7 linked regions of the Macaca mulatta genome follow. Each later gene encodes a partner of the first gene's protein in a complex. Links are inferred from orthologs where the notes say so. Each region holds a gene or a part of one and is shown in the gene's direction. Other genes may lie near its edges.

Region 1 (4,153 bases):
AATCAGTCACCAATCCGTATTAATTATTTTTCTCAAAAATATATTTTAGTCTTTTTTTCCTCTCTTATCAGGGTCAACCAACACCCTATTCTAGGCCCAGCTCACCTTAATCTTGGACAACTGCAAAACCTTCCTCTTGGTGAGTCCTTGGCTTATTCATCTTTGCACACTGAGCACTGGATATACTTCCTGGCATGTGGCAGGCATTCAGTAAGGTACACGCTCAAGTGAAGGTGGGAGGAAAAGGTTGTAGATTCCCCCAAGTTACAGTTAGAACAAATTATGGAGTGATTTCTCATTAGTTCCATTATGGGGAGCATGCCTCATCCACGTTCTTAATGAGGCCCCAGTAAGTCTGTAGACTGTTTGGGGATGAGGGTGGGGCATGGGTGTGAAGCAGAAGTGGTGCTTCCCAGCAAGGGTTGGGATAAATCCAGCAAGCTGAGTTCCCCGGGGACTGTGTCCACCACCTACCCCGCAGCCGCAGGAAGGTAATCACGGATAATCAACCTGAGAAAGAGGATATGAGAGTTTGTTTGATGTCTCCAAACCTGTTATTTGCCGACTCCAAACTCATTTCTTACCAGACTATCCTCAGGCTAAATTTCCTTAAATACCAAGTTTCTATTATCACTCTTCACACTTAATCTCTCAATAAGTCCCAACTCTAAATCTAAATTGTGCAGCTGATTTTTCTTGGCCGGGCGCGGTGGCTCATGCCTGTAATCACAGCACTTTGGGAGGCCAAGGAGGGCGGATCACGAGGTCAGGAGACGGAGACCATCCTGGCTAACATGGTGAAACCCCGTCTCTACTACAAAAAAAAAAAAAAAAAAAAAAAAAAAAAAAATTTAGCCGGGCGTGGTGGCGGCGCCTAAAGTCCCAGCTACTCGGGAGGCTGAGGCAGGACAATGGCGTGAACCCGGGAGACGGAGCTGGCAGTGAGCCAAGATCGCGCCACTGCACTCCAGCCTAGGCGACAGAGCCAGACTCCGTCTCAAAATAAATAAATATATCTACTCTTCAATGTAGTCAATAAGTAAACACATGAGAGGATAGGAGAAATCACTAAAAAAAAAAAAATCCCCGCTGAATCCAACAATCTCTGAAGCCTTTAACACCTAACAACCTCAAAGAGAGTATTTCAGCCCCTCAAAGCGATGGACCCCAGGCCGCTCCCCAGTTACTCAAAAGATCCAGCCTCTCCTCTGGTGTAGCCCGCTCTAAGGCCGCCTCGGCAGTACCACCCACTCCTGACGGGGCGGGGAGTTCTCTCCGACCCCACCCCTTCCAAGAAGGCAGCGCTGGGATTGGCCATGACGCGTACCAGAGCTGCCCAGTCGCGGAAGAGCAGCTGTTTTGGCGTCTGTTTGCTGCAGGAAGAACATGGCGGATCGGCTCACGCAGCTTCAAGACGCTGTGAATTCGGTGAGGAATTTCATTCGATTAGCCTCTGTCTTTCTCTTTCCTGAGGTAAAGCAAGGGAGAAAAGGGGCCCAAGAGGCAAAACTTGGAAGTGGAAAGCGGACTGAGAAACAGGGCTTCGGCATAAAGCGCTCTCTCGGGAGGCGCCACCGCGAACTCGGAGGTGTGAGGCCGGCTGCCGGGCGGTGCTTGAAGGTGCGGGAGGGAGCAGCCTCTTTCGCTTGAGGAGACCGGGAAGATTGCTCTTGTCCGGGTGGGGCCGCCAAGACTTGTCGGCTGCGCGGTCCTGTCGTATTCCCTGAGGACAGTTTTATTTTCTTGGCAGCGGTGCTTACGGGATCTCTTTTGGGGGTTGGGAGGAGAAGCAGGAGCTCTTTTCTTTCCTCATCAATTTGAATCCACCAAGGGAGATCTCGTGCTGTGGATGACTGGGTTTTTGTAATGAAATGCCAGCCGAGAGTATTCCTTCACCAGCGCTTTCAGGTTGGTGCGGAGCGACGCTGAGGTGAGAGATTTTCTTTCATCTTCGCTCCTTCCTGTGGGCCCAGAGCCTCCTTCCATCTCTTGTCTCTTGGCCACCCCTCAGAATGCATCAGTTTGGGGACATCTTTATGATAGGAAATCTTCTGATTCTCGTATGTCTTTCCGTTTATTTGAGTCTTTCTTTTTTCTTTTCTTTCCTTTTTTTTTTTTTTTTTTTTTACTTTGGAGACTGTGTCTGTCGCCCAGGCTGGAGTACAGTGGTGCCATCTCGGCTCACTGCACCCTCCGCCTCCGCCAAACAAGTAGCTGGGATTACAGGCGCCCTCCACCACGCCCGGCTGATTTTTCTATTTTTAGTAGAGACGGGGTTTCACCATGTTGCCCAGGCTGGTCTCGAACTCCCGGCCTCAAGCGATTCTCCCGCCTCGGCCTGCCAGAGTGCTGGGATTACAGGTGTGAGCCACCGTGCCCGGCTTACAAGTCTTTTTTAACGTCTCCCCCAAATTCTACGCTCTATTAAAGGCCAAGTCTTGTAGGTAGCTCCCCAGCTTTGTTCCTTCTGGTAATTTTTCCTCCAAGCTATGCCTGAGTGGAAAGCAGAAGCAAAGCCAGAGGATGCGCATACAGTCATGGGCCCTTAATGAAGGGGTTATGTTCTGAGAAATGCATGGTTTCGGCGATAACTTTTTTTTTTAATAAGTAGAAGTACAATGTATAATAACGAGGAAACAGTAAATACATAAACCAGTAACAAAGTCATTTAGTATCATTATCAAGTATCATGGACTGTACTTAATTGTATGTGCTAGACTTTCATACACTGGCAGTGCCGTAGGTTGCTTTACAGCAGCGTCACCACAAGCACAGACCGCTATGATGTCACTAGGCAGTAAGAATTTTTCAGCGTTGTTATAACCATAGGGGACCGACATAATATATGCATCCCGTTGACCAAGACGTCAGTGGGTATTCTCTTGCTGCAATGGGTATACTTATTACCATTACCAGTTACATAGTTTTCTGTTAAATAGTTTTCCATTGATAGTTATGTTTCTCATTGTCTGATTGTGATTTAACGTCCTAGATGAGGGGCTAGAGAGAAAACATGCTGAGAGGAAAACCTAAGTACCTGGTTTCTTTGCCAGTTTTTTTTCCTCACTGTAAGCTAATAACTTGGCATTTTTCTTAATACATCAGGCTTTGTACACTTGAAGAGTGTGAATCTACTTGTGATAAACTGATCTACCCTGGGTGAATAACACTAGTTTTTAAGGCTGAGAGGACCAGCTTCTAAATGTTGAATTCACCAAGATAAATTCTGCCCTGCAGGGACTTGCCTGAGCTGCCAGTCAGCCTTCCTCAGGGAACTACTCCTTTGAGATTTTACAAAATCAAATTGTAATGATGCTGCTGGATAGAAATCTTATTTTAGGGAAACTTTTGCATATTCATACATGTCTTGTAACTAGAAGGATAGTAAGGACAGAGTGAATATGGCCTTAACTCCAGGTTAGGCATGCTGATAATTGGATTTTGGAGAAAAGCCTTTAGGATAACTAGTATGAGTGCCTACTGTGTATAAGCACTATCATGTTTGCAAAGAGATACTCCTTAAGGAGGTTAAAAAAATGTCATATACTCAGGAGACATTTAAGTGATGGAAAAACAGTATGTGGTTAGGGAGTTATAATGAATTGAGTATTTTCAGCTTTAGGTTCTGAAGTAAATTGGAATATGGAGTGATGTGAACCAAAATAGAGGGAATCTTCTTAGCATTTATCCTAATCAGATTTGTATAACTTTTAACATTTGTTCTACCCTCTGAAAACCATGAGTGCAGAAGCTATGTCGCATTCACTATGTCTCTATAGTGTTTAAATGTAGTACTTGTCATAGTTATTTTCCATAAAGTTTTGTTGACTAAATGGATCTTAAAAGTTTTTTTTTTTTTTTTTTTGAGACGGAGTCTCTCTGTGTCGCCCAGGCTGGAGTGCAGTGGCCGGATCTCAGCTCACTGCAAGCTCCGCCTCCCGAGTTTACGCCACTCGCCTGCCTCAGCCATTCTCCTGCCTCAGCCTCCCCAGTAGCTGGGACTACAGACGCCCGCCACCTCGCCCGGCTAGTTTTTTGTATTTTTTAGTAGAGACGGGATTTCACCGTGTTAGCCAGGATGGTTTCGATCTCCTGACCTCGTGATCCGCCCATCTGGGCCTCCCAAAGTGCTGGGATTACAGGCTTGAGCCAC
Region 2 (3,970 bases), on another chromosome or scaffold:
TAAAATGGGGGAGGCCGGGCTACGTGGTTCACGCCCGTAATTCCAGCACTTTGGGTGGCCAAGGCGGGCGGATCACTGTAGGTCAGGAGCTCGAGACCAGCCTCACCAACATGGTGAAACCCTGTCTCTACTAAAAATACAAAAAAAGGAAAAAAAAAAAAAAAATTAGCCGGGTGTGGTGGCACATGCCTGTAATCCCAGCTACTTGGGAGGCTGAGGCACGCGAATCGCTTGAACCCCGGAGACAGAGGTTGCAGCGAGCCGAAATCGCGCCACTGCACTCCAGCCTGGGCGAAAGACACTCCGTCTCAAAGAAAATAAATAAATAAATAAAACAAAATAAACCAACAAAAAACCCTGCATATCTATATTTTCGAATTTTTATGTAAGATGTCTTCATTGTATGGGTTCAATTAAAAAAGAAAAGACAAAAGGAATGGAACTACCAGCTGCGACTGTCAGCAGAAGAGTTGTAATGCGGGCAGCGGGTGGAACACACGAACAACCTTTGCTAGGTTTTCTTTGGGAGGTTATTTTCACGTCATAAATGTCTAAATTCATGGAAGTCTTACAAGAGCATGTTACATATTAAAATATAAGATTTTTTTTTTTTTTTTTGAGACGGAGTCTCGCTCTATTGCCCAGGCTGGAGTGCAGTGGCCGGATCTCAGCTCACTGCAAGCTCCGCCTCCCGGGTTCACGCCATTCTCCGGCCTCAGCCTCCCAAGTAGCTGGGACTACAGGCGCTCGCCACCTCGCCCGGCTAGTTTTTTGTATTTTTTTTTTAGTAGAGACGGGGTTTCACCGTGTTAGCCAGGATGGTCTCGATCTCCTGACCTCGTGATCCGCCCATCTCGGCCTCCCAAAGTGCTGGGATTACAGGCTTGAGCCACCGCGCCCGGCAAAATATAAGATTTTTTCTAGTCAATAAGGGGTCTATAAAAAATAAAGCAATAAGATGTCTTGTTTAATTTTATGCCTTAAAGAAACGAAGAAACAACCCTCACCTACTACTTTTAAAAGTCAGTGAAAGGGGTGGCGATGGCAGGAGTCGAATATACGCAGGCGCAATAGCGAGCGATCGGTCTGAGGCGGATCTAGAATCTCGTTAAAGGACAGCTCCTACAGCCAATCAAAGACAGAGTCGGTGGCTTCTTCCAGGAGGAGACCGGAAATTGGTTTCGGCTGCAGAGGGGGAAGGCGGCTACCAGTGTAAAGCCAGAGTTGAGGTGAGTGGGCGGCAACGGCTTGGGGCTCCCGCGTGTGTGCGTTTTTTTCTTCCGGACCCCGCGGTTTCCTCTGTGCTGGGCTGGGAACTGGGGAGGCATGGAGGAGTTCGGCCTCCGAAGACGCTCTCTCGTCTTTCTGTCCCGAGTCTCTCCGAGAGCGCGGCCTCCCCGCCGCTCGTGGAGGTCTCGGGATGGACAGCCTGGAGGAGGGGGCTCTTAGCGCTGCAGTCCCAGGGCTTCCTCCGTGTGGGGACGCCGAGCCGGAGTGGAGGTTGGGAGACGTGGTGTCTAGTCCCCTCGCCGCTGTTTTTCTAGGCTGTGTCGCCTTGGGCGAGTTATTTGCCCTTTCTGGCCCTTTGTAACATGAGAGTAGCCCTCCCTGCCCTTCCTTCTTCTGGGAGCAGTTGTGAAACAGCTGAGATACGGGGGCAGGCGAGGGCAGTAGATCCCAACCAAGCCTAATCGTCAGGTCCATCTGGAGAGGTTTTTAAAGCGACATACCAGGGCCCATTCACAGTGGACAGAATGAATCAAATCTCTGGGGCTGGGACCCTGGAATATCTGTCGTCTTCTGGTGAGGCGCCTTCTCCCCCAGAACAAACACTAGATGTTGGATCTTGAGTCTAAGAACCAGTTATGATGCTTGGCTCTGGTTTTATTAAAATAAGACTTCCATCGCCTTTGAAAAGTTCCATCTAGAGAGACAGTAGAGAAAAATATAATTTTTGTAATATGCAAGTTCTAATTGTACAATTAGATGCTTCACGGCTTAGAGATATAAGAGAGCTTGCCCTTTGGAGCTAAAGGGACCTGGGATAAGAATTCCTGTTGTACCATTTATTAACTTTTTGATCTGGGGCAACACTTCCCCTCATTGAGACTTGGGATCTTCACCTCTAAAATGAAATTGATAATAGAACTTAATTCATGGGACTCTGTGGTGGCTCACGCCTATAATCCCAGCACTTTGGGAGGCCGAGGTGGGCGGATCACTTGAGGTCGGGAGTTCCAGACCAGCCTGGCCAACATGGTGAAAACCTGTCTTTACCGAGAAATAAAAAATTAGCTGGGCGTGGTGGCACACACTTGTAGTCCCTAGCTACTCAGGAGGGTCATGCAGGTGAATCCCTTGAACCCGGGAGGCAGAGGTTGCGGTGAGCCCTGATCATACCACTGCCCTCCAGCGTGGGAGACAGATTGAGACCTTGTCTCAAAAAACAAAACAAACAACCTTAATTCATAGAATTGTTATGAAGATTATGTTAGAGAGGCCATAAAACAACAGTATCTGTCACGTAGTTGCCTTAGGAAAATGACAACCTAAGTACAGGAATGCACATCGTGTAGGAAAGTACAGAGCAGCACTCCTCACCTAAAAAGGTTTGAGTGGAATGAAACGTAAGGTGTCAAAAACTGTGTTTTGAAGTACCAGATCAATGTTAATTCCTTGATTTTGGTAATTGTGCTGTGGGTAGAAGAAAACATTCTTGTCCTGGGAAAACACATTGAAGTATTCAGGGGTGAAGGAATGAGAAACCAATAAAGCAAATGAAGGAAAATGTTAACATTTGGAGAATCTGAGTGAAGAATATGAAGTGTTCTTTGTATATTCATGCACTTTTTCTGTAATCTGAATTTATGTTATAAGTTTTAAAATGTTGGCTGGGAGTGGTGGCTCACACCTGTAGTCCCAGCACTTTGGGAGGCCAAGGCAGGAGGATTGCTTGACCTCAGGAGTTCAAAACCAGCCGGAGTAACATGGCAAAACTCTGTCTCTACAAAATATACAAAAATTAGCTGGGCGTGGTGACATTTGCCTCGTACTCCCAGCTGCTTGGGAGGTTGAGGTGGGAGGATGGCTTGAGCCTGGGAGGTCGAGGCTGCATCATCCTATGCACTACTGTGGCATGGTGGAAACTCAGGGCTGCACCACGCCTGCCCTTAGTACCTCACGAATTCTAAGTATAATATTGCTTCTAATAGAATACTTGCCCCACCTGATGTTAGAGGGTGTTATATCTTGAAACTTTGATAATACCAGTGTAAAGGAGCACTTCAGAATCTTCTCATTGGATGGTATATCTAGGCTTAAGGTAGAGTAAGTAGAGGTTATTATGGCCATAGAAGATACTGGGTTTGAACCTGGGGTTTGAAATTTCTGTGATAGTTGTAGGGAAGTTAATGTGTCCATACAGGCCGGGCGCGGTGGCTCACACCTGTAATCCCAGCACTTTGGGAGGCCAGGGTGGGCGGATCACCTGAGGTGGGGAATTAAGAGACCAATTTGGCCAACATGGCGAAATCCTGTCTCTACTAAAAATACAAAAATTAGCCGGGCATGGTGGTGTGCGCCTGTAATCCCAGCTACTTGGGAGGCTGAGGCAGGAGAATTGCTTGAGCCCAGGAGGCGGAGGTTGCAGTGAGCTGAGATCGCACCACTGCACTCCAGCCTGGGCATCAGAGCAAGACTCCGTCTCAAAAAAAAAAAAAAAAAAAAAAAAGTTAATGTGTCCATATAAAATTGCATAGTTTACTGTGACAAAAAGGATATGGAACTGAATCATTTCATTCAGGAACTTTGGATAATACCATGTCTTTAGGATTTAGCAGTGTTAATTTTGTCAGTGTTTATGAGAGATACAAGTAAGTGTTTGCTATTGGAAATCAATCTGTAACATAAAGCAAAAGTGATTCTGATATGAGATTGGGAGACAACGTGTAGTTTGGTTATGGAGGAGTAG
Region 3 (3,500 bases), about 94 Mb from region 1:
CTTGATAGCAGCCTGTTGATACCACCTAAATACCAGACCCCACCAGCAGCGGCACAGGGACAGGCTACGCCTGGGAATGCTGGGCCCTTAGCTCCAAATGGATCAGCAGCTCCCCCAGCTGGCAGTGCATTTAACCCCACCTCGAATAGTAGTACTACAAATCCTGCAGCAAGTAGTTCCGCATCTGGTTCCTCTGTGCCACCGGTCTCATCGTCTGCCTCTGCTCCTGGTATTAGCCAGATAAGCACTACCTCTTCTTCAGGATTCAGTGGTAGTGTTGGAGGGCAGAACCCCAGCACTGGGGGCATTTCTACGGATAGAACTCAAGGGAGCATAGGCTGTGGCGGAGACACTGACCCTGGGCAGAGCTCTTCTCAGCCCTCACAGGATGGACAAGAGAGGTATGTTACTCACTAATTGAGACGAGTGGCCTCAGCTCAGACCCTTTCTCTCTTCTTCCGCACCTTTTCTCCCTTGACCTCATGATTCTCTGAATCCTATGAAGTGCTCTATTTCTCTTCTTCTCAAAAGAAAGGGGTAATGGTCAATCTAAAGCTGCAGTGTTAAAATTTTGAGACTTCTTATAAATTATTATGACTTATAAACCTTATTATTAAACTTACAATCAACTTAATAACAACTTTGTACAACATAACCACAGAAAAGAAAGGGGAGTTTGAAAAAGATATCTCCCATTTTAGAGGAGTACATTGCCATTTTCCATCTGCTTTCAATGCTCTCTGGCTTGGTTTGCCTGTATTTTGGTAAGGTGATACATGTTACTCTTACATTTAATCTGTAAATATTCTTTAGGGAGCCTGTGTGCTCTAGTATTGAGCACTTTTGTTTTTCATACTCATGTAATTTATGTTTATTTTGTGTGTCTCACAAGTGACTCTCTTGCCAGTGTTACAGAAAGGGAGAGAATAGGAATTCCCACGGAGCCTGACTCTGCAGACAGCCATGCCCACCCTCCAGCCGTTGTCATTTACATGGTAGACCCATTCACTTATGCTGCGGAGGAGGACTCCACTTCTGGGAACTTTTGGCTGTTGAGCTTGATGCGCTGCTACACAGAAATGCTGGATAATTTACCTGAGCATATGAGAAGTTCTTTCATTCTCCAGGTTACTGTTTGCAAGTTTATTATTTACTTTTGATGTTGATGTTTTTGTTGTTGTGAAAATAAATACAGGCTTATGGTTTTTCTTAAAAAATAGAAGTACAGGTTAATTATCCTCTAACCAAAATACTAGGGACCAGAGTGTTTTGGATTTCTGATTTTGGAATGTTTGCATATATGTAATGGGAGACCTTGGCAGTGGACCCAAGTCTAAACATAAAATTTGTGTTTTATATACACCTTATACACTTAACCTGAAGGTAATTTTATACAATTTTTTTAATAATTTTGTGCTTTATACAAAGTTTTGATTAAATTTGACTGCAGCACATCACATGAGGTCTGATACGGAATTTTCCACTTGTGGCGTTTTATTGACATTCCAAAAATTGTGAGTTTTGGCGCATTTTGGATTTCAGATTTTTTGATTAGGGATATTCAACCTGTACCCGAAAGTATAAAAGAAAAAATAATCATAATTCTGACTTTTACATTCAACCACCATTACCATTTTGGTGTTTTTCTAGCTTGTTTTTCTATTTTTGTTTACACAGTTGAGATCATACTTTTAATATAACTTAGTTTCTATCTAATGTTATTCATGAATACATTTTCATGTTATTTAAATTCTTACAAGCATTTTTAATGACTGCATATTTTCCATAGCCATTCCTATATCTCCACTTCTTTACTGTTATAAATAAAGCCATAGTACACATTTATGTATAATCTTATTTTTCACATTTCAGGTCATTTTTTAACATGGGTTCTTAGATGTAGATGCGACACATATTGCCAAATTCCATTCCAAAAGAGATTACACTTACTTTCCTTTCATCAGTGAATGAGTATGCTTATTTTCACTGCCCCTTTGACAGCTTTATAGTGTAATGATTTTTTTAAAAATTCTATATAGATGAAAAACAGTGCTTCGGATGTTTGGGTTTCATTTTAATGTCACTTTAACTGAAGCTATCTTGTAAAATTAAAAGATTGAAATTAAAGTTATCAGAGTACATTGCTGATAGTTTTCCATTGTTTTGAAGTCTGTATCCTAAATGATTAGGTAATAATTCCAAAAAATGCCACACACACTGTGTAATTATAAAAAGGAGAAATATAATACAATTTGGGGGCCATGGTAATACCTGTAATAAATTGAGATCTTACCTCTAAAATGGGAACATGGTAGTTTCTAAGTGACAGTATAACTTGACCCATATAATCGTACATCTTTCGAAATTGCTGGTGATAGAGAATTTTATGTCAGTGGAAGGAATTAGGATTTAATTATATTATGTGTGACACTGATATATTTTAGGGCTGAGGTTACCTCTCCCCATTGTGGTAAGGAATTCATGCCGTTTCCTTTTTCAGCTTGCTTGTTAGCGTGTTAGATCTCAGTTTCTAGGTTTTTGGTTTTGTTTTGTTTTTTGTATTTGTGTCTTTAGATTGTGCCTTGCCAGTACATGCTGCAGACAATGAAGGATGAGCAAGTTTTCTACATTCAATACTTGAAGTCCATGGCATTTTCAGTGTACTGCCAGTGCAGGCGACCATTGCCTACACAGATCCACATTAAATCCCTCACGGGATTTGGGCCTGCAGCCAGCATTGAGATGACCCTCAAGAACCCTGAGGTGGGTATTGGCAGGACAGGAACTTAGAAAATTTATACTAAAATGCAAGCTAGGAGAGGTATTTTATCTAACCTAGAGATTGGCTGGTTGCTTAGTTGGCCTTCTACCTTGATATAAGAGTTGCTAGGCTGGATGTGGTGGCTCACGCCTGTAGTCTTAGCACTTTGGGAGGCTGAGGTGGGAGGATTACTTAAGCCTAGGAGTTTGAGACCACCCTGGGCAACATAGCAAGACCCCGTCTCCACAAATTTTTTTAAAAAAAATTAGCCAGGTGTCAGTGATGATGTGTGCCAGTAGTCCTGGCTGTTTGGGAGGCTGAGACGGAAGGATCACTTGAGCCCAGGCGTTTGAGATGGCAGTGAGCTGTGATCACACAACCACTTCCGCCTGGAGAGTAAGACCCTGTCTCAAGCAGGGAATGAAAAAGAGTTGGCAGATTTCTTTAACTCTTAGATTTAAATAGAGGAGATATTTCTCTGAACTTTTAAGAATTTTTGAGAAAAGAGGCAAGCAAATTCTTACTGTTTTTTTAATGTAGGACTTTAGGCAATAATATATGTATCACTTTTAGTTCTTAATGTTTGAATTTTCTAAATTTATTTTCTTTATTTTTCTAAGCTACTCTGTGTCTTAGATCAGAAATCCTTTGCATTTTCTGGCTCTGGTCTGTATCCTGAGACAGCAGTTGTAGTTGTGTTTACTCTGCAGGGGGCCCTCATTTTCTGATGCACATACTT
Region 4 (4,297 bases), on another chromosome or scaffold:
GGAGATCAGGAAGTCTGGGAGTAGCTGGAATTCTACCAGCTGCTGCCCTCTAAGGGGAGGGGGGGTGAAAAGGTGACAGTTCTTACAAACCCCTGTGTGTACGACTCAAGCAGGTGGAATGAAAATGGAACTAGGCATGTGCTGCTGAAACTGAGAGTAAGATGGTATGGATAAGCTTTGGAGCTCAGGGGTATAGGAAAAGTTTTAGTACAGCTGCTCTAGAAACAGGAAAGGAAGCTGATAAAGGAAATGGAAAAGGCAATATTGCCAAGTACTAAATAGGGCACAGTCTGAAACTGGGAGAGGAGTGTGGTTCGCCTTTCTATCGAGTCTCAAATGAAAGACCGCCCAATCAGAGACAGATGGGCAGACCTGGTCAGAGCTTGGTATCAGTGGGACATTTTCAGGAGGACAAGGGGGTAAAGGCATGGAGGCTGCTACTGAAAGAAGCCAGCCTGGGTGAATAGGAATGGAAGGGAAGTCAGCCAGGGCTGAGCACTGGAAGAACAGGGAAAGCAGAAAGCCAGCAACCCAGAAGAGGTCGAGGGCAGGGACCTGCAGGTGGCATGGACCTGTGCAGCACAGCAGACAAGGTATGCGTTTGAACCAGGCCACCATGGTGCTAATCCGGGCTCCGCTGTTTTTTCCACTACGTAACTTTGGGCAAACTACTTAATCTTGCTGAGCCTTAATTTCCTCATCTGTAAAAAGAGTAATACAAAGATCAAAATCTCTTATTTGAGCCCCCTCAAACTAGATAGTATTAGAATCTCAAAGTGTTCAGATTTTAGGAAAGCAGTATACTGCACAAACCATATATTATTTAACATCCCCCTATGAGGTTTGGGGCAGCATCCTGTAATTAAATGTTAATATTTCTTCTATGAAATGAATCTTTACGCTAGAAGGAACTATAAATACATTCATACCATTTCAGGTCAGATTTTACTGCCAAATGAATTCTGACACTTACCTTTTAAAAAAAATGTTTAAAGATGTTTCAAGTTCATATGTGCCATATTGGTGGACCATTAATAGAACCCACCTCATAAGGCCATGTCACGAGGATTAGATGACCAAATTAACATTAAGCAGTGAACACAGTGCCTGGCATGTAGTTACGTCCTCAATACATGCTGCTGTTAGTGTTTTTCTCATCAGCATCATCACTGTTGATGACAGTGTGGCTGAAGTAAAAGGGGGACTGATAAGTGGGGAGGAATATAGAGAGGGAGAAACACAGTGAAAATAAGGCAGAAAAGCAGACCAGATGGGGTTTTGAATACCAAGTTAGGAGTTTGGATTTTATTGAGTAGAAGCAGACAGAGCAGAGAAAAAGACTATAAATTTTTCAGAAAATCAATGATATCAACAGATTTTTGCTTCAGAAAAACCATTCTAGTGGCAGTGTGAAAGAGCGCAAGGAGGCTAAGACCTAGCAGGAGAGCTTTGTGGTAAGCCAGGTGACAGATGATGAGGGTCTCACATGAGGCTGTGGGGGGTGGGATGAAATTCAAAGGGAGAACGGACAGGATTGGGAAACTGATCGGGTGTGGGATGGTGAGGACTAAGAGAAAATACTATCACAGAATATAAGGGAGTAGAAATATTCCAGAAATAGATGGGCAGTAATAATGTTAAATGTAGCAAAAGAAAGAAGAAGATAAGGTGTGGAAAGCATTCTCTGGGTTTGGCAATTAGGATGCTACTGGCAATCTCAGGAAGAGCAGGCTCAGTTGACTCCGTGAGAATGGAAGCCACACGTTATCAAATGTCATAGAGCAGCCAGTAAAATACAGACTGAAAAAATAGGGGTTGAATTCACTAACAAGGAGGTTTTCAATGACCTCTGACATTCATTGCAGTTTGACTTAATGAAGTATTATGGGTAACCTGCAAACCGCAGTGGTTTGGTATAGGGATGGGAGAGTAAGGAATAGATTGTCCAGTAGATTGGTTTTCTCTATGAAATGGGAGGTGATCACTGGCTGTGGGCATTGGGAGGGAAGGAACTAGTTTTCCAGTTTGAAATAGGAGATTTCAATTGGGGCTGAACGACTTTCTCTGTAAGTGGACAGTAAATATGTTAGGCGTTGTGGGCCATAGCCTGTCACATATCCTTCTGTGCTTTTGTTCTGTTTTGCTCAGCAACCCTTTAAAAATGTAAAAATTTGTTTGTTTGTTTGTTTGTTTTGTTTTCTTTTTTGAGACAGCCTTGCTCTGCCACCCAGGCTGGAGTGCAGCATCGTGATCTCAGCTCACTGCAACCTCTGCCTCCTGGGTTCAAGTGATTCTCGTGCCTCAGCCTCCCTAGTAGCTGGGATTGCAGGTGTGTGCCACCACGCCCGGTTAATTTTTTGTGTTTTTAGTAGAGTGGGGGTTTCACCATGTTGCCCAGGCTGGTTTCAAATTCCTGGACTCAAATGATCTGCCTGCCTCCCAAAGTCTCCTAAAATGCTGGGATTACAGGCATGAGCCACTGCACCTGGCCTAAAAACACAAAAATCATTTTTAAGCCAGACCACACAAAAATAAGCTCTTGGATAGATCTGGCATAGGAACCAGAGTTTGCTGACCTGATTTAGATTACTCCCCTTTCAAATCTCCCCAAGTGACAGAAACGACTGCATGTTCATTGTAAAGCAGAAGCACCCAGGACAAAGACAGAAGAGACACAAAACTGGAAACCAAGTAGACAAGTGGAAGTCAGCAAACTCAGGAAAGCTGAATCCTGTGCTGGTAGTGGGAAAAGTTGAACTGAACGTGAAATATATCACAGAACTCCCCAAAGACTCAATCACTGGCAGCATCAGGTACCACTAGTAGAGGGAATGAAGATGATACTGAAAACAAGATTCCCGGTTTCTAAACATGAGCAGGCAGCCAAGATCATGAGGCATTAGAGGAAAGTATTTTATATAAAGACAGGAGACCAAAACAAATGAAATCTAAATGCAACATTGAAAAACTGAAGAGACTCAGGGGGATGAAAACTCAGGAAAAAAAAATCATTAAACTCCTCAGAGAGAAGACATTTTACTCATGAAACAGGTAGAGGATATCATAAAAAATATATTTGGTGAACAAAAAGAAAAAAGTTACCCTGGAAAATGAAACACATAATAGCAGAAATAAAAAGGGCTGGAAAAGGAATTGGAAAAGTTAAGGAAATTTCTCACAATATAGAACAAAAAGATAGAGATGGAAAACGATTAAGAAAATATTTTTAAAAGATTAAAGGACAAGTCCAGAAAACATGACTTCTGAATATGGGAGTTCTAGAAAGAAAGAATAAGGGGAAAAAATGAAAAGGCGAAAATGCTGAAAAGAATAACTCAATAAAGCTGTCCCCGAACTAAAGGTTTTGAGTTTTTTGTGCTTAAAAGGGTCCTCTGAGTGTCCAGCACAGTATGAAAATAGCTCTCCATCAAGGTACATTATCGTGAAATTTCAAATTTCTAGAGAGAACAACAAACAGACTTTATATAAATAATTAAAAATCAGAACAGCATTAAGACTCCTCAAGCAGAACACCAAAAGCCTAGAATACAATGGGGACAGTACCCTCAAAATACTGAGGAAAAATGATTTCCAACCTAGAATTCCATACGCAGCCAGACTATCAATTAAGTGTGAAATCAGAATAAAGACATTTTCAGGTATGTTCTCAAAAAATTACTTCTCATGTATCCTTTCTCAGGAAATTAGTACAAGATGTGTTCCATTAAATGAAGAAGTAAAAAAATATGGGGCCCAGGAAATGAGATATACCACAAGAGGATGGTGACAGGGACTTCAAGACCACAGATGTTTGGCTACACAGAGAGCAAACCACCCAAGGAGAGCATGCAGAGGCTCCCAAAGAGAGTTCTTCAAGAAAATGAAGCTGACAGACAATCTAACATGTCTGAATATATGGAGAACGATTTATACAACTGGAGAAGAGTTTAGGGTTGAATTAGTGACAAATACACAAAAAACTAAGGAAAGTAAAAAGCAAGACTTTTACTGACTTCAGGAAAAACAAAACATGCAGTGAAAAACTAGTAATCATGGTATCTATGAATAGTGTTTCTATGGTCATGGTATATAGATTCAATATTGCTCTAACTATATTAGGAGAATTGGAGGATAGATTGCATGGCTATGGTAGAGGAGTGGTGAGTGTGACAGAGTATTAAATATTCATCTTCCATTGAAGAAAGTCAGTAGGTAATACTCAAAACAGAAAAATCAAGAACTGGCAACATACTCTTGTTATTAGAGATTCAGTGGTTAAAAACCAAACAAATTAGCT
Region 5 (4,300 bases), on another chromosome or scaffold:
GAGCATGTTTAAGGTAGGCTAGGCTAAGCTATGATGTTTAGTAGGTTAGGGATATTAAGTGCCTTTTCAAATTACCGTATTTTCAACTTACAATAGTTTTAATGGGAGGTAACCCCATTGTAAGTGGAGGAACATCTAGTACCTGGCACAGAGCAGGTTCTCAATAAATATGACTCTTCTCCATCTTCTTCAAACCTCAGACCAGGTTTCAATGGCCTCCTCTCACTTTCTCTTCTAAGATTATTTTTGCTTGCTGGTGGGTTTACTGTCATTTTTAACTACATCTAACCTACCTTTAAAAAGTGTATGGATGGGAGTGCCAGGTACAAAGACTTAGCATAAAGAAAACCACCAGTTACCTTGAAACATAAACAAAGGCCATTAATAATTTATGAGTCTGTTCCTTGCCCCTCAAGTTTCTAGCAGGCATGGAATCATTCCACAGGTCATGATTTCAGTTTGGTCTCTGTTCCTAAGGGGTGAAGGTCTTCTGAGGGCTGTGGATCCCAAACTCACCTGGCTCAGAGGCTCAAACAGCCTCTTTGTCCATCAAGCCAATTTAGACAGCATCCTGGGCATGAAAATCTTTTGTGCTGGCTTCAAGTGAAAATAGTTCACTGGGTCAAAAGTAGGCTGGTCCAAGACGCAGGATGGTCAATAAACGTTGGCTGTGTTCAGAAACTGCGGCTTGGCTGTTTCTTCCATTGATTTATGGTTTGTTTCCATGAAACCGAAAATGATTGGTCCACCTGGCAGCTGGCTGGCTGGCTGGCAACTGGAGGCCTTTCTGTCCTGGCTGAGGGCCCTGGCCCCTTGGTGGCCTTTGGGAAGCAGCATCTCATCGGGCCGGTTTTTCGTTCTGGCGGGCGGCCGGCTTGGCCCGCGGGGCTGGGCTCTCCGCGCAGTGCAGAGCCGTCTCCACCCTCAGGGACGAGGCCCTGATGTGGCGGGACGTCGTTTCCGTGCGCTGCGAGGAGGATTCCACGTGCCGGGAGGACGCCTCGAGGATGCCAGGGAGCCGCTTCCCCAAGGGGGAGAGGGAGGGCCCCTCGCTGCGGCGCTGGGAGGTCTCCACCCGCCGGGACGACGTCTCCACGCGGTGGGACGAGGTCTCCACACGGTGGGACGAGGTCTCCACGCGGACTGTGGACGTCTCTGTGTAGCGGGTGGTCCCCACCCGGGGAGAAGACTGCTTGGCCCCTCGGGCTGAGGCCATTCTGCCGGCGTGAGGGGGCCAAGGAGGCCTCGGGGCACCCCCCAGCCCAACGGTCACCGCAGGCAGAAGAGAGGAAAACTACGGTACTGCCATAGCCGGGAGCGCCACAACACGATGACGTGGAAACACCATGATCCTTCCAAGGCTAAAAACACTGGGCTCCTGCCCCTCAGGCGCTCCCACGGCCCGGGCCCCGCCCCCTCGCTATTTTGGAGCCAGCGCGGGTGGAGCCATCCCAGGGCTGGCGGGATGGGCGGAGCCGCCCGGCCCCATATCCCACAGTGCCCCGGGACCGGAAGAGAGAGCCGTGGTTTCCGGAACTTCCCCCGCCACTCTGGGCTTTTGCTCGGTCAGGCTGGTGGCGTTTTGGTGTCTTCGTTTGTTATGGCCGCTGCCGTCGCTATGGAGACAGGTGAGTAGCTCTCTGATCTTGGAGTCTTCGCAGATGGAACTCCCCTCGGTCCAGACGGCTTCCCCGTGGCCTCCTTCCAGGCCTTACTCTCGGCAGGGTTAATATTTGGACAAGGAGGTGAGAAGGCTCTTGTAGCGTCTAGAAAGACTAAGGTACTCTTTGCAGTTTTCCTAATTTGGTTTGTTCGCACATCTTTGCTATTCAGACACCACCCTACCAGCTCCCCGGCGTGGGTGAGACTAAGGGAGAGGACTTGTGTGTTAAACCGTCTCCTCCTTGATTGGTTTTCTGCTTCTCACATGAGCTTGCCTAAGTTTGAAATATCGTCGCCGGACTTTATGTGTCATTCTGCTACTGGTGCTTCTTATATGCATACGCTCCATGATCTTTTAGGCTCTGCGCAGTCTCTTGCATCCTAACTTTTTCTTAACTGATTCAGCACGTAGCTTTTGCAAAACTTAATCACTGTTAACAATTGTTATAACGCATTATTAACATAGGGGAAGCCATAGTTGTTACAGCCTACCTTAGTGATCTTAGGAATTCTCCGTTTGTGTTGCTGCTTTCTTTGATGATTTCTCTTTAATTTTAGAGAAACTTCTAACTCCTTTTAATCAGGGCTCCGCTTTTCTTAGATTTCGAAGAAAGGTTTATCTCCCCCAACTCCCAGTTTAGGAAGACCATCTCGGCATTAGTCAGGTTTCTTTATTGCTGTTTCCTTACTACAAATCAGTATTATATACAGTGACCCTTACTTTCCATGATTTTTGCTGTCTTGTCTCCTAGATGATGCTGGAAATCGACTTCGGTTTCAGTTGGAGTTGGAATTTGTGCAATGTTTAGCCAACCCAAATTACCTTAATTGTAAGTTGTTAAGCACCTCATTAAATTGAGTAGCTACTAATGATTTCTGACAGAAGAGTTGCAATTCAAAATAGTATCTACTTTTACACATTCTCAATTGAATGACATTACACTTATGCTGGTATATAGATATAATTGCGCACTGGGATTTGTGTTTTGAATTCAATGTGTGTTGGTGGTGGGGGTTTTATGTAAATAGATCCTTTACATTAGGGGTAACAAAGCATAGTTTAAAGATTGGTTTGACCTACAGACATTTTTTTTTTTTAATGCTTTTCAGTTCTTGCCCAAAGAGGTTACTTCAAAGACAAAGCTTTTGTTAATTATCTTAAATACTTGCTTTACTGGAAAGACCCAGAATATGCCAAGTATCTAAAGTAAGTTTAATTTTTATAATCCTAAGCATGTGTATACTTTATGATATGATAGATTTCTTCGTTTCACATTGGCAAAAATGTATTTGGAATCTCTCCACTTCTTTTCGTTGTCACCATCTTAACACAAGACACTCTCATCTCTAACTTGTATCACTGCAGTAATCTACTCCCTGGTTATCTCTGCTTCCACTTTTACCTTCCTGCCCCCCCCCCACCCCAAACCAAACCAAGCAAAACAGCTTTCTACACAGAAACCAACTTAGTCATTTAAAAATATAAATCAGAACACTTTACTTTCTTGCTTAGAACCTTTCCATGACTTTCCATACCATGCAGAATAAAATCCAGTCTCTTTTCTTGGGCTAAAGCCCTATATGATCTGGCCCTGCCTTGTCTGACCTTGTCTTTCACCACCCTCCCCATCTCACCAGGTTTCTGGTCCCGAAGAACTCACAGTCTGTAAATGAAGTGACATAAGCCATGGGCTGAAATTAAAAGAGGGTATCTGTAAGGAAGGTGTTTCTGGGGTTATTTGGAGGAGGTGATGTTAACCTGAGTCTTAGAGTTGCTATCTTTTATTTAAGGCCTCTTATGTGCCAGAAACAGTGCTAAATGCTTCATATGCATTAACTCATTTATATATATATATATATATATTTACCATTCAGGTCATTCAGCGACACTTTTGTGTTAAGGCTTACTGAATTGCAAGAAGCATATAACCACAAACCTATTCCCTTTTAATGATTAAAAAAAAAAAAAAAAAAACACCTTGAACTCATCCCTGCTTTGTCTTAAGCAGGTAGAAAGCAATAGTGAACCTTAAAAAAAAAAAAGTTTGAGAGGAAAATGTTTCAAACTTGTTTCGAAGTCACTTTTCTGTGTCCAATAACAATTGACTCACGAAGCATATACATCTTATATTGCCTTCAGGACCCTTTGCACCTTTTCTGGCTTTTTATCCATTTAATAATCCAAAGAAAAGACTTTTAAGAAAAATAGATTTCAACAAATGTTGTATGTATGTAGATTTACAGACTCAGTGTTGGAAGCCTTAGCCACCAACAAGTTTAATCTTACCCAAAACGTTGCCGAGAGATGGTCATCTACACTCTGGAGGTTTTCACTGAGCCCATGTTACTCTGTCAGGGACAGCTGATTTGATTGTTAGCCAGATGTTAGAAAGTTATTCCTTATATTGTGATATAATGTCTCTCCTTGTAGCTCTAGTCTGATTGTAGTGTTATCCTTCATCTATCTGCAGTCACATGAAGTCTATTTGTCCCACTACTGGTGACATTAATTTTGATAACTTGGTTGTCCCTGGATTGAGCTAGAACCATTCTATACCCTCTTGAGGACAACAACCTTCCAGATACTTACATTCAAGAGAGATTGCAGATTAGCCCCTTTTGGGCATTTTATTCAGTC
Region 6 (4,042 bases), on another chromosome or scaffold:
ACTAGTATTGCACATATTACACTATATTACGGTTTAAAATGTCTACTTCTTCAACTGAACTAAAGCTCTTTAGAGTAGCTATATGGGCCCTAACCTGACTGGTGTCCTACTAGGAAGAGAAAATTAGGACACAGCCATGTACAAAGGAAAGACCACGTGAAGACACAAGGAGAAGAAGGTCATCTACAAGCCAAGGACAGAGGGCTCTATAGAAAGTAACCCTACCAACCTCAACCTCAGACTTCTAGCCTCCAGAATTACAAGAAAAGAAATTTCTGTTGTTTAAGCCACCCAGTCTGTGGCATTTTGTTATGGCAACCCTAGCAAACAATATACGAAGCCTAACTCTTCAAGTTTTTCTCCAGCAGGGAATCTGAATTATTTCTTTTAAGCTTTTAGTAGCTATTGTGTGGGCAACGATGGTTGCATGTGCATGTTAAAGTTGTTAGAAAACTAAATTTATGCCAGGTCAGAGACTTGTATAACAAAACCACTAATGGGGACTCATCAGCTCATCACTTAGCAGCTACAAAGGAGTAGTTCATGCTTAGCAGTTTGTGGCATTTCACAAAGAAGTGAAAGGCCCTTTGCATGTCTATGACTCTCATCAACAATTTTCTTTTTGAGGTAAAGAAAGCTGATCATCGAAAAGGCATAACAGATGTTTTAGGGGTTGGTGATGACGGTGGCATATGAAGAAAAACACGTATTCTCAACAATATTGCCAATAGAATCCAGCAATACATTTAAAAGGATAATATATTATGACCAAGTAGCATTTATACCATAGAAGCAAAATTGGTTTGGCATTCAAAAGTCAGTCAATCACATTTGCACTGAGGTTATCATAGCTGACAAGCACCGTCTCTGTGGCTTCAGCTCCTGGCTGCAGGCCGCTGATGGAGGTCCAGAAGGTCAGCTGCTCACAGACATCAGCTGCGGCTCCAGCATTTTCCGCAGGCTGCAGCCTCTGGGTTTCAAGCTTTTCATTTCCCAGTCTGCAAACGGGTTAGTCCCGAGCAGGAAGCAACTCCTTCTCCAGCCGGGAGGTGGCGGCCTGCGGTCGATCACGCCTCCGGGGTCCTTGGGCTCAAGGTTCCGTTTGGGGGCGCTCTCGTCCGGCTTGCGGGCTGACCTTCTCCACAGACGGAACCGTCTGGCGGCGCCGCTGGTTTCTGCGGGGTTTGCAAACAGAGAGTACCGGGCCCTTCCGGTCTTCCGTACAGGTTCCTCCAGTTGGCTGGGCTGCGGAGGGAAGGCTCCCCGGTAAAGCACTGGGGGAGGGAAGCGACGTCGGAGAGCTACGGTTTCCTCCGGCGGTCTCCGACCCTCGCCCCATATATTCCCAGAGCTCGGGTCTGACCCGGGCCTTACCGGGCACCCCGGAAAGGCGGGGGTAATAGTACAGATGGAGACGCAACTGCAGAGCATTTTCGAAGAGGTGGTGGTGAGTGCAGCTGCCGGCCATCCAGGACTACGGCTCGGGGACGGGTAGACGCGGGGGCAGCAGACCAAGGAAGCTGGCCCGGGCAACTTCGTCTCACGCTTCCCTTTTTATTCTCTTGTTTTGACATCGAGGTTGTGTGCGGGGAGGTTTAGTGATTCTCAAACTGCTGTCAAGTTCATTGTATCCTTTGAAATCGATACAGTGACAGGCCCGACAGGTATTGATAGTTTCAGAGCTGATTAAGGTGACTTGTCCTGTGTTACATTGTAATACTTGGCTAAGGGAGGCGCCTTTTAAAAATTAACATTGTTTACATTTTGTTTTTTGTTTTTTTTTTTTTTTTTTACAGAAAACGGAAGTTATAGAAGAGGCTTTTCCTGGGTGAGTGTATGCGTGGCGGATTTTTGTGTTTTCATGTGATTGTATCTGTCAGATTTTACTTAGTTTCGTGTTGGAAGGTTCTAAGATCCACTATTCTGATTGTGTGTAATTACCTTTTTAAAACGAATGACAAATAATGTAATTTTTATTTTTTTAGCATGTTTATGGATACTCCTGAAGATGAGAAAACAAAACTAATTAGCTGTTTGGGTGCCTTCAGACAGTTTTGGGGTGGTCTTTCTCAGGTGAGCACTTCATTTTTAATACATTCAGCTGATGATTTTTGCCCCCTTCTTTTTTTTTTTCCCTTTAACATTTACTTTGATGTTGCTCTTAAGATCTTCCTGAGAAGGAAGAAATAAAATTGTCATCATTTTTTATTCTGGCTTACGTTTGTTTTAATTTGTATATTTCGGTAGAAAACCTATGTTGAGAAGTCAAGTTGATACTGCACAGTGTGCAACGCTGAAAAAAAGAAAAAAACTCCCCTATGTTAGATTAATTAAGATCATTTTCATCCTATTCGGATTTTTTTGGTACACTTGAAAACAGATGTGTTAAGCTTTACTTGTCAAAGATACACATTCCATTTGTTTTACTTAATAAAGGAATTGGCACAGCATTGATACAAAGATGCTACAATAGGAATACCAAGATTCTATAATAACGATAGGAAGATATTATAGTAAAAATGAGGAAACAAACTGTAAAAGTAACAAAGAACAGCTACCAGAAAATGTATCCGTGAAAAAGACAAAATGTGTCATCCTTGAAGAGCTCACATTCCAGTAGTGCCTTACCTTCTCATGGTGTATTATGGGTAGGGAAATGAGAACTGTGTGTCAGCCACTGGTGATAAGATTTGCCACTTCAGACATGGATCATATAATGCTAATACAGTCATGTTTTAACCTTTTGTTTAATTATTTTCTAATAGGTAATACATTCATATGGTTCAAAATGCACAGGTATAAAAAGGGTGGATCCAATAACTAGTCTCTTTCTCTTCTCTTACCTGTTCTTTTTTCTGTCTCTAGCCAATATCCTCAAGTTATGTTTTCTTCTAGAAGTATTTTATGCGTATAGAAACACTTTTATAGCATGATCATATACCATGTACACTGTTAATTAATTAGCACTTTTTTCTCCTAATAATAATCTAAAGGTAATTCCCTATCAGTCCAAGAGTTACTTGTTCCTTCCTTTCTTGTTATTTATTTATTTATTTTTTAATTAATTAATTAATTAATTATTATTATACTTTAAGTTCTAGGGTACATGTGCACAACGTGCAGGTTTGTTACATATGTATACTTGTGCCATGTTGGTGTGCTGCACCCATCAACTCGTCATTTACATCAAGTATAACTCCCAATGCAATCTCTCCCCCCTCCCCCCTCCCCATGATAGGCCCCGGTGTGTGATGTCCCCCTTCCCGAGTCCAAGTGATCTCATTGTTCAGTTCCCACCTATGAGTGAGAACATGCAGTGTTTGGTTTTCTGTTCTTGTGATAGTTTGCTGAGAATGATGGTTTCCGGCTGCATCCATGTCCCTACAAGGGACACAAACTCATCCTTTTTTTGGCTGCATAGTATTCCATGGTATATATGTGCCACATTTTCTTAATCCAGTCTGTCACTGATGGACATTTGGCTTGATTCCAAGTCTTTGCTATTGTGAATAGTGCTGCAATAAACATACGTGTGCATGTGTCTTTATAGCAGCATGATTTATAATCCTTTGGGTATATACCCAGTAATGGGATGGCTGGGTCGTATGGTACATCTAGTTCTAGATCCTTGAGGAATCGCCATACTGTTTTCCATCATGGTTGAACTAGTTTACAATCCCACCAACAGTGTAAAAGTGTTCCTATTTCTCCACATCCTCTCCAGCACCTGTTGTTTTCTGACTTTTTAATGATCGCCATTCTAACTGGTGTGAGATGGTATCTCATTGTGGTTTTGATTTGCATTTCTCTGATGGCCAGTGATGATGAGCATTTTTTCATGTGTCTGTTGTCTGTATGAATGTCTTCTTTTGAGAAATGTCTGTTCATATCCTTTGCCCACTTTTCGATGGGGTTGTTTGTTTTTTTCTTGTAAATTTGTTTGAGTTCTTTGTAGGTTCTGGATATTAGCCCTTTGTCAGATGAGTTGATTGCAAAAATGTTCTCCCATTCTGTAGGTTGCCTGTTCACTCTGATGGTAGTT
Region 7 (3,500 bases), on another chromosome or scaffold:
TGTTGGCAAAATGTGGCCTGGTCCACCAGCTGTTTTTGTAGATAAAATTTTATTGGAACACAGCCATCCTCATTTATTTATGTATTTTCGCTGGCTGCTTTTGTGCTACAACATTGGAGCTGAGTAGTTGTGTGGTTGCAAAGAGACTGTGTGGTTGCAAAGACGAAAGTATTTATTATCTGACCCTTTACAGAACAAGTTTGCTAATCCCTAATGAGGGATCCCATCAGGTAGGATGAAATTACGGGTTATAGATAAATTTTCTGTTGCCTCTGTAGGGTCTGATGTTTTAATAACATGAAGATTCTTCATTTGTTACAGTTCAGAGATAAAATAATTTATAGTTAATCTCTACCAAACCAAGAAATAGTTCTTTGTTGTAGCTAAGAAAATGACAGCTGTTTAAGACTTACTTGTTACATACGTTTTTTTCTTTCATTCTACCATGCCCAACTGTATTGCTTATAAATACTCTTGAAATAAATATCAGTGGACTTCCTGTAGACTTAATCCAAAGAGATGCAGAACCAAAATATTGAATCTCGTTAGACATTCCTGTAATTTGAACGCCATGATAACATTATACCATTTTATATTTTAATTAGCTGCCAATGTAGCCAATATTTATTTGATTTGTGATTTAGAAACCCTTTGAATAGTTTGGTGAATATTGCTAGATACCTTTTTTTACATTCCATTATACTTAGAAAATAGAATTTTGTTACACTTTCATAGTAATCATTTCTTTAATTTTAAGTGAAAATTCTGGCTTTTTCAATTCCATTTTAAATATGTTTCTTCAGTTTCTAGAGGAAAATAGAAAGCAAATGTAGGTCACACCATTAGCAAGCAATTTAGGGGCTATAATTACCAAGAAAACATCAACTGGATTATGATTCTGTTTACACGTAGAATAAAAAAAAGAACCAGTCGGTCAAATAAAGAATTAAATTTCCTACCTGTTTTTATTCTTTAGGTCCTTATCTTGCTTCCCTGCCATTGGACAGCTCTCTACTTTCCCAGCCAAATTTAGTTGCCCCTACAAGTCAGTCTTTGATTACTCCACCTCAGATGACAAATACTGGAAATGCTAATACTCCATCTGCCACCTTAGCATCTGCAGCAAGCAGCACTATGACAATGACTTCAGGTGTTGCCATATCTACTTCAGTTGCCACAGCTAATTCAACTTTGACCACAGCTTCAACTTCATCTTCATCATCCTCCAACTTGAATAGTGGAGTATCATCAAATAAACTACCTTCATTTCCACCCTTTGGCAGTATGAACAGTAATGCTGCAGGATCCATGTCTACACAAGCAAATACAGTTCAGAGTGGTCAACTAGGAGGGCAACAGACATCAACTCTACAGACAGCTGGGATTTCTGGAGAATCATCTTCACTTCCCACTCAGCCGCATCCTGATGTGTCTGAAAGGTACCTTTAAAAATACTGCTTTTGCAGAAATATGAAAACTATGATACTTCTTTTTTCTTTTTTTTCTTGAGACAGAGTCTCATTCTTTTGCCCAGGCTGGAGTGCAGTGGCGGGATCTCCATTCACTGCAACCTCTGCCTCCTGGTTTGAAGCGATTCTCCTCCCTCAACTTCCCCAGTAGCTGGAATTACAGGCATGTGCCACCACACCTGGCTAATTTTTGTATTTTTAGTAGAGATGGGGTTTTGCCGTGTTGACCAGGCTCAAACTTCTGACCTCAGGTGATCGGCCCGCCTTGGCTTCCGAAAGTGCTGGGATTACAGACATGAGCCACCATGCCCAACCATGCTGCTTTTTTGTAAATAAGACATTCTGAATGAACATAAAGTGCTTTTTATCTTATTCTTGAAATTTTAGTTTGTTTCTTTTTTTAAGACAAGGTCTCACTCTGTCACCCAGACTGGAGTACAGTGCGTGATCACGGCTCACCACAGGCTCGACCTCTTGGGCTCAGGTGATCCTCCCACGTCAGCCTTCTGAGTAGCTGGGACTTACAGGCATGCACAACCACACCCAGCTACTTTTTTGTAGAGACGGGGTTTCACCATGTCGCCCTGGCTGGTCTGGAACTCTTGGACTCAGCGATCTGCCTGCCTTAGCCTCCCAAAGTGCTGGGATTACAGGCATGAGCTACCGCACCAGGTCTAGTGTTGAATATTTTATGTATAAAATTATAATGAGGACTTTACTTCATAAAATCTTTATCATAGAATTCTAGAATCTGAGGGTGGGAATTAAGAGCTTGAAAACCATGTAGTCCAGATGCCCACATGACATTTGAGTCTTCTGTGGCATAATTGTCAAGTAGATTTGCCTCTGCAAATCACTCGAGTGATTGAGAAGTCACTATTGACCCAGTCTATTCAGAGGCTTTAGAGGGGTACTAAAGTTTGAATCTCAGCTCTGCCATTTAGCTGCTTTGTGACTTTGGGGAAACTCTAACTTTCTGAGCATGTTTTCTTATGTGTAAGATGAGAGTAATATGATATAATATACATTAAGTACTTTACACAGTGATTCCAAGTTATTTATGGTGACAGGAATGATCATGACAGCTCTCATTCCTTTTATGATGAAGGTTTTGAGTGATCTTCCCTTTTGATTTATAGGCTAGGTTAACCAGAGCTTAATTATATCTGTCAGCTATCCAGGGTGCAGTTGTGCCCAAAATTACACTCATGGGTAAAAACAAACCATTACCCAGATTGATCCACCTCTCTTGAACATATGAATAGATTTGAAGTGTAAAAAAATCAAATCACCCATCAAAGAATGAAACTTGTTCACCATTGAAGCTATAAAGTATGAAATAAATGTATATAGTCTAAAAATAGGACGAGATTAAGTGGTTCATGCCTGTAATCCTGGCACTTTGAGAGGCTAAGGCAGGAGGATTGCTTGAGACCAAGAGTTCAAGACCAACCTGGTTAACATAGTGAGACCCCCATCTCAAAAAAAAAACATGTATATATAGTCTAAAAACGTACTAGAACATTGAATGAGTCTGGAAACGTGGTTTCTGGAAACATGGTTTCTTTCTGGCCTAGCTCTACCTGTAACCAACTTTATAAATTTGGGAAGCTATTTGAGATAGCCTCAGACAAAGAGACCTATCTTTGTCTCAGTTTTATCCCTTAAACTCTAAGCAATCTTTTGTATCTAATACTCTATGGTTTTAAGAATTCTTTTTTTCTTTTTTTTTCTTTTTCTTTTTTGGTAAATTTAAGGCAAGACCTCTTAAGGCAAGTGTCTTTATACATTGTGGAATTGTATTTACAATGTTTATGGTTAACTTTGGTGAGAAAGAAATGTTCTTCATTTTCAGAGAGGCTTTCTCACACCTTTCACCAAATAAGAGGGAGGAGGGGGGATATTAAGAACCTGCTTATATGCTACGTCAAGCATATACAGTATAACTTTTTGTCTCATTTCTACCTTAAATTTTAGCACGATGGATCGGGATAAAGTGGGAATCCCCACAGATGGTGATTCACATGCGAT

The links.
Region 2: the proteins of MED21 (region 1) and MED7 are in contact, whole or in part, in a cryo-EM structure (PDB 7EMF), measured with the Homo sapiens proteins. The link is inferred for Macaca mulatta from reciprocal best matches to the Homo sapiens genes MED21 and MED7. Residues at the interface, in NP_004255.2 of Homo sapiens: Asp3, Leu5, Thr6, Leu8, Gln9, Val12, Asn13, Leu15, Ala16, Phe19, Ile23, Ile62, Ala66, Ile69, Asp70, Ile73, Asp74, Leu76, Pro77, Ser78, Glu79, Ser81, Ala83, Gln86, Ser89, Leu90, Leu93, Glu96, Asn97, His98; in NP_001094286.1 of Homo sapiens: Phe72, Asp73, His74, Lys75, Leu78, Arg79, Asn82, Ile85, Leu86, Phe89, Leu92, Leu93, Leu96, Phe116, Val119, His120, Ile123, Asn124, Tyr126, Arg127, His129, Gln130, Arg132, Glu133, Leu135, Arg136, Met139, Glu140, Gln142, Lys143.
Region 3: MED21 (region 1) and MED13L share a complex: the UniProt entries of both Homo sapiens proteins name them as parts of the mediator complex. The link is inferred for Macaca mulatta from reciprocal best matches to the Homo sapiens genes MED21 and MED13L.
Region 4: MED21 (region 1) and MED8 share a complex: the UniProt entries of both Homo sapiens proteins name them as parts of the mediator complex. The link is inferred for Macaca mulatta from reciprocal best matches to the Homo sapiens genes MED21 and MED8.
Region 5: MED21 (region 1) and MED31 share a complex: the UniProt entries of both Homo sapiens proteins name them as parts of the mediator complex. The link is inferred for Macaca mulatta from reciprocal best matches to the Homo sapiens genes MED21 and MED31.
Region 6: MED21 (region 1) and MED23 share a complex: the UniProt entries of both Homo sapiens proteins name them as parts of the mediator complex. The link is inferred for Macaca mulatta from reciprocal best matches to the Homo sapiens genes MED21 and MED23.
Region 7: MED21 (region 1) and MED13 share a complex: the UniProt entries of both Homo sapiens proteins name them as parts of the mediator complex. The link is inferred for Macaca mulatta from reciprocal best matches to the Homo sapiens genes MED21 and MED13.

What each region holds. Positions count from the first base shown.
Region 1 is NC_133416.1:29,388,621-29,392,773, forward strand, and holds the start of MED21 (mediator of RNA polymerase II transcription subunit 21), read left to right. Parts: upstream 1-1,353; 5' UTR 1,354-1,386; coding exon 1,387-1,428; intron 1,429-4,153. UniProt on the Homo sapiens protein: Component of the Mediator complex, a coactivator involved in the regulated transcription of nearly all RNA polymerase II-dependent genes.
Region 2 is NC_133411.1:166,007,764-166,011,733, reverse strand, and holds the start of MED7 (mediator of RNA polymerase II transcription subunit 7), read left to right. Parts: upstream 1-1,170; 5' UTR 1,171-1,229; intron 1,230-3,970. UniProt on the Homo sapiens protein: Component of the Mediator complex, a coactivator involved in the regulated transcription of nearly all RNA polymerase II-dependent genes.
Region 3 is NC_133416.1:123,231,902-123,235,401, reverse strand, and holds part of MED13L (mediator of RNA polymerase II transcription subunit 13-like), read left to right. Parts: coding exon 1-401; intron 402-907; coding exon 908-1,127; intron 1,128-2,574; coding exon 2,575-2,763; intron 2,764-3,500. UniProt on the Homo sapiens protein: Component of the Mediator complex, a coactivator involved in the regulated transcription of nearly all RNA polymerase II-dependent genes.
Region 4 is NC_133406.1:196,875,935-196,880,231, forward strand, and holds the start of MED8 (mediator of RNA polymerase II transcription subunit 8), read left to right. Parts: upstream 1-1,497; 5' UTR 1,498-1,501; intron 1,502-4,297. UniProt on the Homo sapiens protein: Component of the Mediator complex, a coactivator involved in the regulated transcription of nearly all RNA polymerase II-dependent genes.
Region 5 is NC_133421.1:8,131,825-8,136,124, reverse strand, and holds the start of MED31 (mediator of RNA polymerase II transcription subunit 31), read left to right. Parts: upstream 1-1,500; 5' UTR 1,501-1,600; coding exon 1,601-1,628; intron 1,629-2,414; coding exon 2,415-2,492; intron 2,493-2,772; coding exon 2,773-2,869; intron 2,870-4,300. Other genes in the region: C16H17orf100 (uncharacterized protein C17orf100 homolog), read right to left, coding at 839-1,216. UniProt on the Homo sapiens protein: Component of the Mediator complex, a coactivator involved in the regulated transcription of nearly all RNA polymerase II-dependent genes.
Region 6 is NC_133409.1:36,667,873-36,671,914, reverse strand, and holds the start of MED23 (mediator of RNA polymerase II transcription subunit 23), read left to right. Parts: upstream 1-1,242; 5' UTR 1,243-1,408; coding exon 1,409-1,447; exon of another isoform or gene 1,448-1,664; intron 1,665-1,796; coding exon 1,797-1,828; intron 1,829-1,985; coding exon 1,986-2,073; intron 2,074-4,042. UniProt on the Homo sapiens protein: Required for transcriptional activation subsequent to the assembly of the pre-initiation complex. Component of the Mediator complex, a coactivator involved in the regulated transcription of nearly all RNA polymerase II-dependent genes.
Region 7 is NC_133421.1:49,703,013-49,706,512, reverse strand, and holds part of MED13 (mediator of RNA polymerase II transcription subunit 13), read left to right. Parts: intron 1-976; coding exon 977-1,439; intron 1,440-3,446; coding exon 3,447-3,500. UniProt on the Homo sapiens protein: Component of the Mediator complex, a coactivator involved in the regulated transcription of nearly all RNA polymerase II-dependent genes.